Drosophila melanogaster: one gene and its partners. The protein of the gene in region 2 interacts with the protein of the main gene of each other region in a pairwise test. Each region holds a gene or a part of one and is shown on either strand. Other genes may lie near its edges.

What was found.
Region 1: the proteins of Swim (region 2) and zormin interact in a two-hybrid assay, tested with the Drosophila melanogaster proteins (one large-scale study listed by BioGRID).
Region 3: the proteins of Swim (region 2) and cer interact in a two-hybrid assay, tested with the Drosophila melanogaster proteins (one large-scale study listed by BioGRID).

Annotation. Positions count from the first base shown.
Region 1 is NT_037436.4:2,148,575-2,153,627, forward strand, and holds the start of zormin (zormin), read right to left. Parts: upstream 3,127-5,053; 5' UTR 3,036-3,126; intron 1,708-3,035; 5' UTR 1,516-1,707; coding exon 1,171-1,515; intron 1-1,170.
Region 2 is NT_033778.4:22,199,557-22,204,437, reverse strand, and holds the start of Swim (secreted Wg-interacting molecule), read left to right. Parts: upstream 1-1,766; 5' UTR 1,767-1,948; exon of another isoform or gene 1,949-2,523; intron 2,524-2,634; exon of another isoform or gene 2,635-2,930; intron 2,931-4,881. Other genes in the region: Alp7 (alkaline phosphatase 7), read left to right, coding at 1-453, 519-706.
Region 3 is NT_033778.4:19,395,618-19,398,416, reverse strand, and holds cer (crammer), read left to right. Parts: upstream 1-1,644; 5' UTR 1,645-1,754; coding exon 1,755-1,793; exon of another isoform or gene 1,794-1,854; coding exon 1,855-2,055; 3' UTR 2,056-2,202; downstream 2,203-2,799. Other genes in the region: SdhA (succinate dehydrogenase, subunit A (flavoprotein)), read left to right, coding at 2,674-2,730.

The DNA of each region.
Region 1 (5,053 bases), on a different chromosome or scaffold from region 2:
TCTCAAGTTCAAGTCGCATCTTCAAGTTCGAGCGATTTGGAGGGGTTGGAAAAGGGGGCAAATCTGCGGAGAAGACCCAAACAAAGTTTCTCTCTGAAGAAACTGATTCTGCCAGCTCGAAATGGACCCAGACAGGTAGCAGCTGCGCCTAATTGTCGAAAGTATCTGGCAGATACATTTCTTTTTGTCACGTTTAGTTGGCTTTTGTGTCTTTGCTCTGATGTCAGACAACCTTGAACCTTTTGTGGCGTTTGTTTTTCTGCTGCCGTTTTTCAAATATTTATAACCGCTATCAACAACTTTTGCTTTCGTTGTTCGAGTGCTAATTGGCGCGGAAATCGCTGGAAGCCGGTTTAAACAATCGAAAATTGTAAGCCAGTTTTGGGCATTAGAAGTTCATGAATTTTTCAGTGCTAAAGTCACATAGTTTTGCCTCAGATCCGAAGGGGCTAGCTATGGGATAATTATAGAAATTTATCAATTAATGTCGACCGATTGGTAGTGAACATTTGCTTGGTTGGAGGCTGGGCCATTTAATAATAGTCGAACGTTGTTTTATAGTGATAAATTGATTGAAAAATGATTTGATAACAATCTGAGATAATGTATCTATTGAACTATTTTCTTTGCTTTACATCTCTCAGACTGTTTTTGCCCCACTACGCAAAATGAAAAAAATGTAAATATATAATTGCACTGTCATTAATAATGAACAAAGATTATGTCGTCATTCAAATGATAAGCTCATTTATATTGAAAAAAAAGGTTAATATATTTAGACTGGCTTAATTGGTTGTTATGGATTTTTATAGCTTCACATAAAACTGAGTCGAATGCAACTTTTTTCATAAGATGTTTCAATGACCACAGCTTATCCTAGATGTTTCCCCGTGTTTTCGAAACCTGACTGCACTTCTAGATTTATGATTTATTCAAGATCTCCCAATGCCCCGTCCCAAATCTCTTTTGAAGTCCTCCCAGATCGCCTTCCGCATAAATTTCCGCGCACTTCAAGAGCTTTCTCCGAACACTTCTCCCGTATCTAGATAAATGTTTCTTCATGTTTGTTTCCCATTTCTTGGCCTTTTTGCTGTGTGTTTTTTGTTTGGATTCGTTTCGTTTTTTAGTTTACTATTTTTATTGTTTGCGGGGTACAAGAGTACAACTCACTTGTAGGAGCGCTATCACCAGCTGGATGGGTCCGCATCGGACGACAACGGTGCCAATGGTGGTGGCTCTCAGGGAGGAGGAGGATGGTGGTGTGGTGTGGGTGGTGCCGGTGCCGGTGCCCGTGCCCGTGGACATGGCTGTGGACATGGCCTGACTTGGAGTCGGCGACGATGATGACATTGTTGCTGAATAATTGAAGGCGTCTAGCTGGGACTGCTGAGATTGCTGGGATTGCTGCGTCTGAAGTTGGTGGCCGGTGTGCGGCTGGCGGGGATTGGGATTCGAGGAGGAGGCGACCGAGTAGAGCGAAGACATCGATGAGTCTAGGGCTTGGCGGCGTTCCATGGTTGCTTTTCTTTCTATCTGCTCGTCTCTACTTCTCTCTGTTTTCTTTTTTTTTGACTAACTTTCGAGGATTGAGTGAGTGCTTGTAGTTTGGTGTGTTTTGCGTGGGCGTTTTATAATCTCTGTCGTTTAGTTTTTCTCGTATTTTGGCTTACTTCCCCTGCTTGTGTCTCGTGTTTTGCATTTTGAACTCTGCTCGAAAAAGTGGAACTATTAGATTGAGTCACTCGCGTTCGGATTTAATTTATTGGGATTAGTTATAGCCAGGGGATTCGATTCGGCGGTTCCTTCGTTTCGTTGCGAGCGCTATCAACGCCGGCGATCGTCTGAGAACCTCCGCGAATCGGTAGATTTTCGAAACGGAGAATTCTTTTTGCCCGCCGCGATGACTATGACTTCATACTCGCGCTCTCCCTGTCGCTCTAGTGTCTGTTTATTATTCCGTAGTGTCTATATATACGGCTATATAGCCGAGAGAATCGTGTGTACTTTTTGCATATTGAGCCTGAGAAAATTGCCTTTGATGCGTGTGCTAGTCTCGTTGTAGAACCTCGGTAGCCCCCCGCCCCGCCAAAACTCAAAGACAATGCTCGATTCGCGTTTATTTTTAAAACAACAAACTATTGAGTAATTTTTTGCGGCGATTTCTGCCACGAAGCTAAACTGTTGTTCTAGCCCAGATACTCAGATACTGCGATGCTACAGATACAGGCTACTATAGCTAATAGATAAAGCGCGCGGATGTTCGTCAAATCTGTAACATGTGCCAATTGCATTGGCAGAAGTCGTCGCCAGTCAGTCATTTTTCATGGATTTTTCGATATTTTTGAATACATTACGCATACGCCGCGTATGCTCGTGTGCAGCCAGCTGCCTCCATTAGGTAATTTTTGGTGTTTCTCTCAATTTTTAATAGTCGCCGCCGTTGCTGGCGTAATGTAAACTATTTTAATTGTACTTTGCGCTGTCTAAAAATAAGCAGCAAACCAAAAATTGGGAAGAACAAGTTCCCTTTATAAAAGTTTACAGTAGCGCAATCGAGGAAATGCTTTGCCTCCATATGTTGTTGTCCAAAAAATTTAAAAGAAAAAAAAATGGAAAATTGTTGATTGAAATTTTCTGGGGCGTGGACTGTTGTAGTATATTGAAATATGCACATGACTCAAACAAATAAGCTTTCAATGCATCAGGTCACCGAATATTTTTGAAAAATATTTTTTTCGCGCATTCTGTGTCGTTTTCTATTTGTTAAACATTTTGTTTGTGCTTTCTGAGGGTCGTCACAAAACTGAATATTCGACAACAACAATAAATTTAGCACAGATTGTTGATTTCATCTTTAGACGAGTGAACGCAAAAAAAACTAGCGCCAAGCATTTTTGAATGTCAAAAATGTTCTAGGTAAATTATGGCTGATTAATTTACGTTTCATTTCGCTTTTTTTTTGAAGTGCCAAATTTATTGTTTTCTTCCTCGTTTTCTGCCTAACTTAATTTACATAGATATGTTTTTATTCGCACATTATATTCGAGCGGTGGAGATGTGGAAAATCAAAACGCGCGCGCCGCTTTCCCAACAGCCGAACAACCGAACGCCGCGAACTTCGAACAAGACTGACTAAATGATCGGAAGACTGAAGACCGGAGACCGAAGACTGAGCAGATTCTACGGGAGACAGCCGATCAGAAAGAGATAAAGAGCGTGCAGCCCATGAAACTTAACCGATTCGCTCAATTCATTCATGCAGGTAGCGGTTCTCTTGTTTTGATCTCTTGACACTGGCTAAGCTCAGTTTTGAAAAGCCGGCTTGTATTTTGAAAATGAGAGAGTGTGAAAGAGAGGGCTGGAGACGCTAGACGCTAGAGAAAGAGGCAAGATGCGGGGCTTCAGGGGAGACGACATAAATAAACAAGTGCTCTTGGCATTCGCGGCGTCGTTAATTCATGATTTCAATTTTTAATGCCCTGCGCCCGGCTTTTCAGCAATTACAATACGAAGAGAAGGTAAAGCGATATGAAGCGAGCTTGTACCCTGTAATTCTGATGATAAAGGGTAACTTTAAGCGAACTGTTGCTACCCTCTTATGCCCTCACTTTATTTATTCGCATTTACTTTTGAATATTCATCTAACTTAACATCTTATGTGTGGATGATTTTTCCCCTTGGCTAGACCTTTTCCTCGTTGGTCTTATACACCCCATATAAGACGAGGTACCTTAAACCACAACATATTCAAGTGCAGCTTTTGTACTTTAATAACATGGTGAAGAGTGGAAGATCAAAATAACAACACCAGAGCAGCGGAGGAAACCAGACGATATCGTGTCTTAATGCAAGGCAAACTGACTGACCGCCCGCATTTAAATCCCCTCACCACCCATGATGCTCTATACCCCAATTTATGAAGTATTTTTCACCCAAAATGCGTGTCTTGCAGCTTTGGCTTTGGCTCCGGATTTCGTGCAATATTCAACGTGCAACATCCGACGCTTCTTGCGTGCAACAGCAGTTGCGGCAATCAATGCGCTGCAGATGTGTGTTATTATTTTTCGCTATCAACGATTCGAACTTATCGAATTATGCTTTCAGCGCCGGCACGTCAGAAAATCTGGTCGAATGGCATGAAAAGAATCTCATAGATATTTGGTTCGCCTTTCTGGATGATCAGCTCGTTAAGTATAAACTCTTTTCACTCACTCACCACACTCAGAGCGATTTATTTATATGTTTTTTAATTGAGATTAATGAGCCACTTGACGAAGCTCACAAAAGCAGCCAACCCCTCTTAACCCCATTTCCCCGCTGCACCCACTGCCAGTTCACATTTCAGATAATTGAAATCACTTGAGGACCACTTGTTAAATGTTTGGGGGAAAGGGCCACCCACAGAGGGAAATTGAAAAAAATTATTTAGGGTGGAAAAGTCCAAAAGAGCACTCAAGGGTTAAGTGCAGATGATGGCAATGACTTTTCACGGATGCAGCCCAAAGTTATGCAATGTTTTCATGGATTTTCGAGATTACATTCAAATTTTGCAGTTACGAGTTACTTACTTGCTTAAGCATAAAATTTAAAACTAAATACCTGAAAAGTTAGGAGGTATTGAAAAAAATTATAAATGATTAGCTTTATTTTTGGGGTAAAACATGTTCGATATTAATTGCACTATGTTTTGTGACTGTGACTGTGTGGGAGAAATAGTTATAAATAAATATTAAACATATGATTAATGGCAAAAATTTCGACTGGCCGTAAGTGAATTTAAATTCTTACTTTAAATATATTTTCTAACCATTTGGGAATTCTCTAATTTTTGCAAGCCTTAGACTTAATTTGAACTAACTAAATAAATATTTCTACTACTATATTTAAAGCAGAGAAAGTATAAGCAAAAGACATTTTTCAAACATAAAATATTTAAAAACCTTTTGCGCAGGCATTTTAGTATATCTTTTAAGCTAAAGTTCAATCGAACTAATAAATTTTGGTAGAAAACAGTGAACAATCATGCAAAGTAAAATGGCAAACAAAATAAAAA
Region 2 (4,881 bases):
CCTTCCGCTCGGGAGTGATGAGCTTCAATAAGATGGCCGATCCCAAGGAGGAGCCCACACTGGCGGAAATGACGCGCAAAGCAATCGAGGTGGTCAGCAAACGCGATGGTGGCTACTTTCTGTTCGTCGAGGGTGGACTCATCGATTATGGCAACCACTTCAACTCCCCAACCTATTCGCTCTCAGAGACGCTTCAGTTCGAGCAGGCTGTTCAGGAGGCTCTGGATATAACCGATCCCGAAGAGACCCTGATTGTAGTCACCTCCGATCACGCCCATCCATTGACCATCTCTGGTTATCCTGGCAGAGGAACCCCCATTTTGGGTCTCAATCAGGATGACACCGATGTGAATGGAGTTAAGTACGCCACTCTCAACTATGCAGTGGGAACCAATCAGTATCTGGATGAGCACGGCCAGCGCATCGATCTTACGGATCAAATTGGAGCGGAAGGTAAGTGAATTCTACTTTTGGGCGCCTTGATAAGTGATAAGCGAACCAATCTGCTTTCCTTCTAGACTTCATCCACCCCAGCTACATCCACGGCACTATTGGCGTTCATGCTGGCGATGATGTGGGAATCTTCGCTACTGGTCCGCAAAGTCATCTCTTCACCGGCGTGATGCAGCAGAGCACCATTCCCCACCTGATGGCCTATGCCTCCTGCATTGGCAATGGACCCACTCTCTGTGACAATGAGGACTAGAATTTTAATGAATCTATAATATAGAGTATTTGGAAAGCACCCTGCTCTCACTTTGATTTGATTCTGGGGGAGCACTTTGCAGAAATCAATAATCAAATTGGCCCGACTCCCGTAATTTATTGCACGAGTCTGCCGAATTGACTTCAATTTAAAACGCATCAGCGAAAAGACAGACACTCGCAGATGCAGATACAGATACAAACAAAGATTTAGATAGATTGAGCGATCGCATCGATTTGTTGCCAGTCGATGGCTGTCACTTGTGGGGGGTAAGGAATAAATATGAATTCGCTGAATGTCAGGTTCAAGCATTGGCATTGCCGACACTTGGGGATACGCAGATACACAGATATGCCGTAGATATATAGATGCACAGATGTAGATATATTGACTCCCACACGCATCTGGAGCAGCTCCTTCACTCGCTCTGACTTTGACTTGTAATTGTTTGCTTGTTTATGGGTTTGCGCATTCAACAGAATTTATTTAAATGCGCTTGACATGAAGTGAGTCGAGATGAAGGCGCAGCTCCAGACAATTAAGCTTAATGTTTTCTCGTTTCTTACGCAATTAAGGATCGCTCTGGCCAAGGCGGTGTCCTCGATCCCCAACGACTTCAATAACTCAATTATTCGTCTGCACACACAGAAAATATTCCGATTCGTACATTGAAATATTTAAATTGCCAAAAGAGGAACATATTAAAATGTTTATTGTAGCATTTGTTTAAAGTACTAAAGTAGTGATCTTGTTAGTGAAACTTATATTTTAAAGTAAGTTCATTCCAGCTCATTTTCGCTCGTGCCTTGTCCTTGTTTCGGATTACTTTGAGTCTTTATTTTGGGAATTTTTGTTGTTTAAAAGTTCTGAAAAATTCGCTTGTTCAACGATTGCTGGCTCAGCGAAAAGTGGAAGCCAGGGGTTCGTTTACTTAGTGTTGTGGTCGTAAAACGCAAATCGCTTGTCGGCAGCAGCTTGTCGGCTTTTAAAGTCGCGTCGTTTCCCCATTCGCAGTCCTCAGATCGCAGTTCAGTTTGCAGCTCAGCTTGGTCTGCTAACTTGGCTCAGTCTCAGTTTGGGTTCCAAATCTGTCGCGTGCGGATCAGATCAGTCTTTACAGTTTATGCCCGATTTGACGCTAATTTCAGCTGACTTTTCGTCTGGCTGGCTAATAGTGCGCGAGTTTATCTTTAACGTTTGAATCTCAGTTTCGGCGATTACCAACTGAATTGTGTGTGACAGGTGAGAATTTGTGGTAGATAAACTTACAGATAAACCGAGTCCAGTTCGAATTGCAACGCAGAGCAAGTGTTGAAATTGTAATTGAATGCGTGGCTCGGCGGGAAATCAATATCAGATGGATTGTCTCCGGATTTGCGGTTAACGAACAGACATTCGAGTCGGAAAACAACAACAGGAGGATCTCGTTCTGTGAGCTATATCAGTTGGCACTTGCTAATTTGCTAATTAATCAGACTAAGCAAACAGCCCTATACCGAGATATGACCTTAAATATTTGCTCTACTTTGGCCATTTAAGCCGCGCAATCCGTTTAGATAAAGAGCTAACCCATTTAGCCCAACTATTTCCCCTTTCGCCAGCGCCAGCTGGAAATTTGGACGGCAAACACAAACATTTATCAGAAATCTGAGCAAACTTGCATTTTCCACGGGACGCACCGCTAGAAAGTCTGGAAGATGCTTGTGCCACTTTGGGCCAAGATCGGGTCTGGCCAAAAGCGCTGATGGCGGTTCGTGGGTGCACAGCAGATGGAGATGCATTCACCAGATACGGATGCTAAATCCGCCTGAGTCACGCTATTTATAACAGCAAAAAAAAAAAACAACAAAATAATGAAATCTCCACCGACACGACTGCAATCGATCATCGCAGAGGAAAGCGGTGGGCTTTTGGCACCGAATTTTTACCTAAAAACCAAATAGACAACCTGGGGATTGCGTCTTATTTTCGATGTGCAGCTGGAATTCCTCCGGCGATGTTTACTTTGGGCATTAGCTTTTGCTGCCGTCAGGCGAACATGTTATTCTAGTTCTGTGTATTTTGCTCTACTGACCGTGAACTTGAACAAATGGAAATGCAAATGCAACCCATACAAACAGGCGAATGCACTATCCTTTGGATTTGAAGTTAAGTGCCTGATTCGGTGAGACTGAAGCTAGCGTAACCCCTGAGAAGTGTCAGGTATCAGTGGGCAAAATGTGACGATTCAGCTTTATAATCATGGATATATGTATCTCTATGTAAATATGGCTGGTCTCTAAGGTTAACCAGAATTCGGGCAGGAAGCGAATTGCTCGAGCAATCTGTAACGAAACACCATCAACAATACAAACCAGAGCAGCCAAATATTCAATATTATATAGTATCGCAACTAATCCCATAAATTTGTTAGTTTTCATCTTTGAGCGGACAAAGCAAACACGCAATCCGGTCCAGTTCCGGCACCTCCCCCCACCGAAGCCCCTACAAAAACAAATAACAAAAACAAACCGAAAGCAAGCACACCTGACAAAGGTGAGTGAGCAAAAACCCAGAAACATGGCTACTGGTCTTGTCCAGGTGATGTCATATTTATCTCTGTTCGCGGGATGGCTGGCGCTTCTGGGGCTGGGGATCTTGAACTGTGTAGCATAATGGCAGCTCCGAAATGAATTCCTCCTCCCTGCCATAGTTACGATCCTAACGTCGCCGATCCAATTTGCATTTACATAATTCTCAGAGACTTTACGACTCGTTAAGTATGTGCCACAACCCTCAGGCCTATTTGATTACCTTTGTGGGATTTGCATAATCAATGATTCGAATAGCTCAGATTTGAGAGCGACGAAAATGGGGGAAGTGCTAGTGGGGGCCCACTGTAGACAGGGGGGAACGTGACGATGTCATTAGGCAAAGCGCCATTTAAATGGATTGGCCTGGGCAACAGAACACAGCTCAGCTAGAAAATCGGCAATTAAAATGTAAATTGCATCACATGCAGTTTACAATTGCTCCATCATCGTTTTGATATATGGCTCATACGCACCGTTGGCCGACTGCAGCTCGGCGGTTAAGGTTATTTGTGAATAGTGAGTAAATATGTTAAATGCACACATTTATTTATTCAATCGCAATTGACACGCTTTGGGTGTTTTGGGTCCGATCGTAGCATATTTTCGTAATTGATTCGAATCGTTATTATGGCTATTACGATTACTACAATGTGGTTATGAGTCGCCGAGGGGCTTGCATGCGATTAATGGACACCCACACCTCTCGACACTGAACTTTAACCTTTCCCAGGTGATGGAATGTACATATCGGTATTTTTATTTATTTTACCTCCTATTTTTATTCGCCATTTGACGAGAAGTACGATCTGCTGTTGTCACAGTGCTTGCCACCGCCGTCGAATTTGATTTACGGCACGTATCGACTCCCATTCAATCAGTGATTCAATGGCGCTAAATGGAAAATGCATTTAGCTATCACTTGGCTGTCAGCAGGTTGACAAATGACGTCACCGATGATTATCGTACGCTCCATTGCCAATTGCAAATACGGATCTACGTGACGTCACGGCCCACCTGCACTGCAGCGCTAGGCATTTCGGCCCGGTTGTTATTTGGCCAAGAAACATGGCCTATTTGCTTTTCCCAGTCGATATTTGTGGCCCATTAGCAGTTCACACCTTGGCAAGCGCTAAAGTGGCGCCCTGCGATCGAAAACAGGGGACCTGTTGGCACTTTCAATTATGCACGCCGTGCTAATTGAACTTGGCCAAAGTGAAACCCCAGTCCAGAAAGTGACAGCCAGTCAGATCGAAAGATAGAGCGAATAAAGCCATAATAGTTCATGAATGAGTAGTGGACGTCGCCTAAAGTGGGAATTGTTTCTCCATCAGATAGTTAATTCAAACGCCTCTAACGACAAGAAATGTTAAATACTGTCAAATTATTTATTCATATTTTTAAGCTTAGGAAGAAATATTATTATATTTTCAGTCAATTTCATTCAATTTTCTCTACTGTATTTGTTGATAAAAATGCGGCAGCTCTTTTAAGCAGAAAGGTCTTCTATTCTTTGGGTGTTTTTTTTTTTTTGGCGACAATTAATTTATGTGATATTTTGTTTAGGTACTCTTTTTTTCATCCGTTGCTTTTATTATTCCGAGG
Region 3 (2,799 bases), 2.8 Mb from region 2:
TTTATACGATGGCCACGGCAACACACCCTCCCCTCCACACACACACACACACAGAGAGAGATAAATGCAATTCACACAACAATTTGTATGATAAACGAGAATGAGGTTTGCAGGTGTACACGCAATATCCGACACCGCCGCTTTGTCCTAAACAAGTAACTTGCAAATATCTTCTAGATGTATTAGCTTATAAAATAACTACGCAACACACCTTACTACATGATGACATGGTAAAGCAAATGAACAGATAAAAAAGGGTACAAATTCCCAGGCAACTCTAACGACAAACAAAGATTTGTTTGAAACAAAGGCAAACTTTTGTTTTTAGACACATACGTACAAGCGTGGTACATGCATAATACTTAAATGCAATATTTTTTTAGAAATGCAATAAATTCGATGACAACAACTACAATTTGATATTCTAGGCATGTGTGTGTTTTGTGAAAGCGCGTTTTATGTTTTTGTGTTCTTTTGTTTTGTTTTTAAATTCCGGGCAGCCACAATTTGCACACAAAACGAATAAATAATTATTGTATACATGCAGCAATTGTATTAGTTTTTTATATAAATAATTATATATTTTTATGTACGTAAAACTGTTTATACATACATATACATATATATATTTATAAAAACCAATAAATTATGAAGAAAACGAAAATCCAAAAATACACCACGCCCGCATTAAAACATGCGATTACTCTGAGGAAAGCAGAAACAACACAATCACTGAGAATGGTTGGAATTTTCCAAAAATTATCTCCAAGAATCAAATTTCAGCATTTCTTTTGTAAGTAGATGTGCTTGATTTGTAATCGCTTTTCCATTTATAATATTCAAATCGATGAATAACGAATACTGCAATTAACTATATACGACTGCCATAGCATGTAAAACTTTAAGGCACAACTTAAACGCATTTACATTTCAAATTAACTGACATAAAATTAAAACCCCGATGATTAATGCCAGATAAATCGAATGTTTCTGCTTTTCCTACCCAAACCCACCACCACATTGAAAACACTCTCTTTACAACATAATACTTGCATTGCTGAGCCTTAGACAAACAAACAAACAAAAAAAAAAAACGGCAAAATATAAAGTATAATTAAACTGATTATTTGCGCAACGACAGAAGCTTATTTCTAGCAACTTTTTTGCGTCATTAAGGCGAAAAAGTCTGTATAATTTTGTCCTTAGATTAACATTAGAAATATGTCAATATTCTCACTCTGTGCAAATAATAAAAAAACTTTTGAAAAAAGCAAACGAGAAGCCGAAAGTTTATTCATAAAATTTGTTTAGAGTGTAAGAAAATGCATATAAATATATATTTAAATTCGTATTATACACAAGAAAAAACACGACACACACGAAGAAGTAAACACGTAATAAATAAAAACTTGAAAATTGTACAAAATTCAAAAGTATTTGAAAAGAGGTTTTTTTTATTTGTATTTATTTTTTGAGTAGTCATTCCAAAAAATGTAACAATGGTTTTGCATTAAATGTTTATAATGTTTGAGAATTTAGCATATGATTTAAATCGAATTTGAATAGTATCCGGTTTTCATAAACGAGGGCCCACTGTTATTTATGTTTGTTTTTCACCGAAGTGGCATCTCTGATCAGCTGCATATATTATCGTTTCTTTGTTGTGTTTATATGTTGTGACTCAGTGCGAAACCGTGATAAAACCTGAGAATTGAAACGAAATTTAGTCGGTCACCAAAATTACAAGTGTCAAGATGTCCCTGGTTTCAGATGAGGAGTGGGTGGAGTACAAGGTAGGCCCAATATGTCCTAGCAAGCGACGCAATATTTAGAAATCACTTGATTCCACCATAGTCCAAGTTCGACAAGAACTACGAGGCAGAGGAGGATCTGATGCGTCGTAGAATCTACGCCGAGTCCAAAGCCCGGATTGAGGAACACAATCGGAAGTTCGAGAAGGGCGAAGTGACTTGGAAAATGGGAATTAATCATTTGGCTGATCTCACGCCTGAGGAATTTGCCCAGCGTTGTGGCAAAAAGGTGCCGCCAAATTAACAGAATCTCAAGTGAATCTCATTTTAAATAGACATTTTGTAAAGACACTAATCTCTCTGTAATTCTATAAATATGCATTTGAATTTTTAAATCTTTATCGTTCAACCACCCCCAAATAAACAATAAATCAGCTGTTTTGTACATTTTAAAGATTTTGGGATTTTTGTGTTCTGGCCACTTTGGCTGGGAGAAAAACAGTTCATTAGGTTTTGGTTCAATGAACGAAGGTTTATTTATCTCTACGATATATGCAAATAAATACGTACGGCTGAGATGGTAAAATTCCATTCCAAAAATATGTATGCTTGTACGCGGTATCTATATACATTTTGAACTTAAAGCGGATTAACGCCTTTCTGCGATGAACTAGTTCCGGTTCAGCGTTCATTGAGCGAGTCAGTGAACCGAACTGCAGTGCCGACGAGCGGCAGTTCACACACAACATTTGAAAGTTTGTAAACTTTTCCTTTTTCGATCACATAGACACATCGATACACGTAGTTATTTGTTTTTATTTTGTACCAACACCAAACACCCCATCTTACAAGCGCGTAAAACCTCGTTTTCGGTCCAATCTCTTGCAGAATCTTGCAGTAGAACCTCACAGCCCAGCCAAACATGTCCGGAATCATGCGTGTGCCATCGATTTTGGCCAAAAATGCAGTCGCCTCCATGGTAAGTAGTCCCCATTTTGGAAGTGAAAACCCAGGCTCCTCTGTGGCAAACGAAATGATTTAAGAGTGG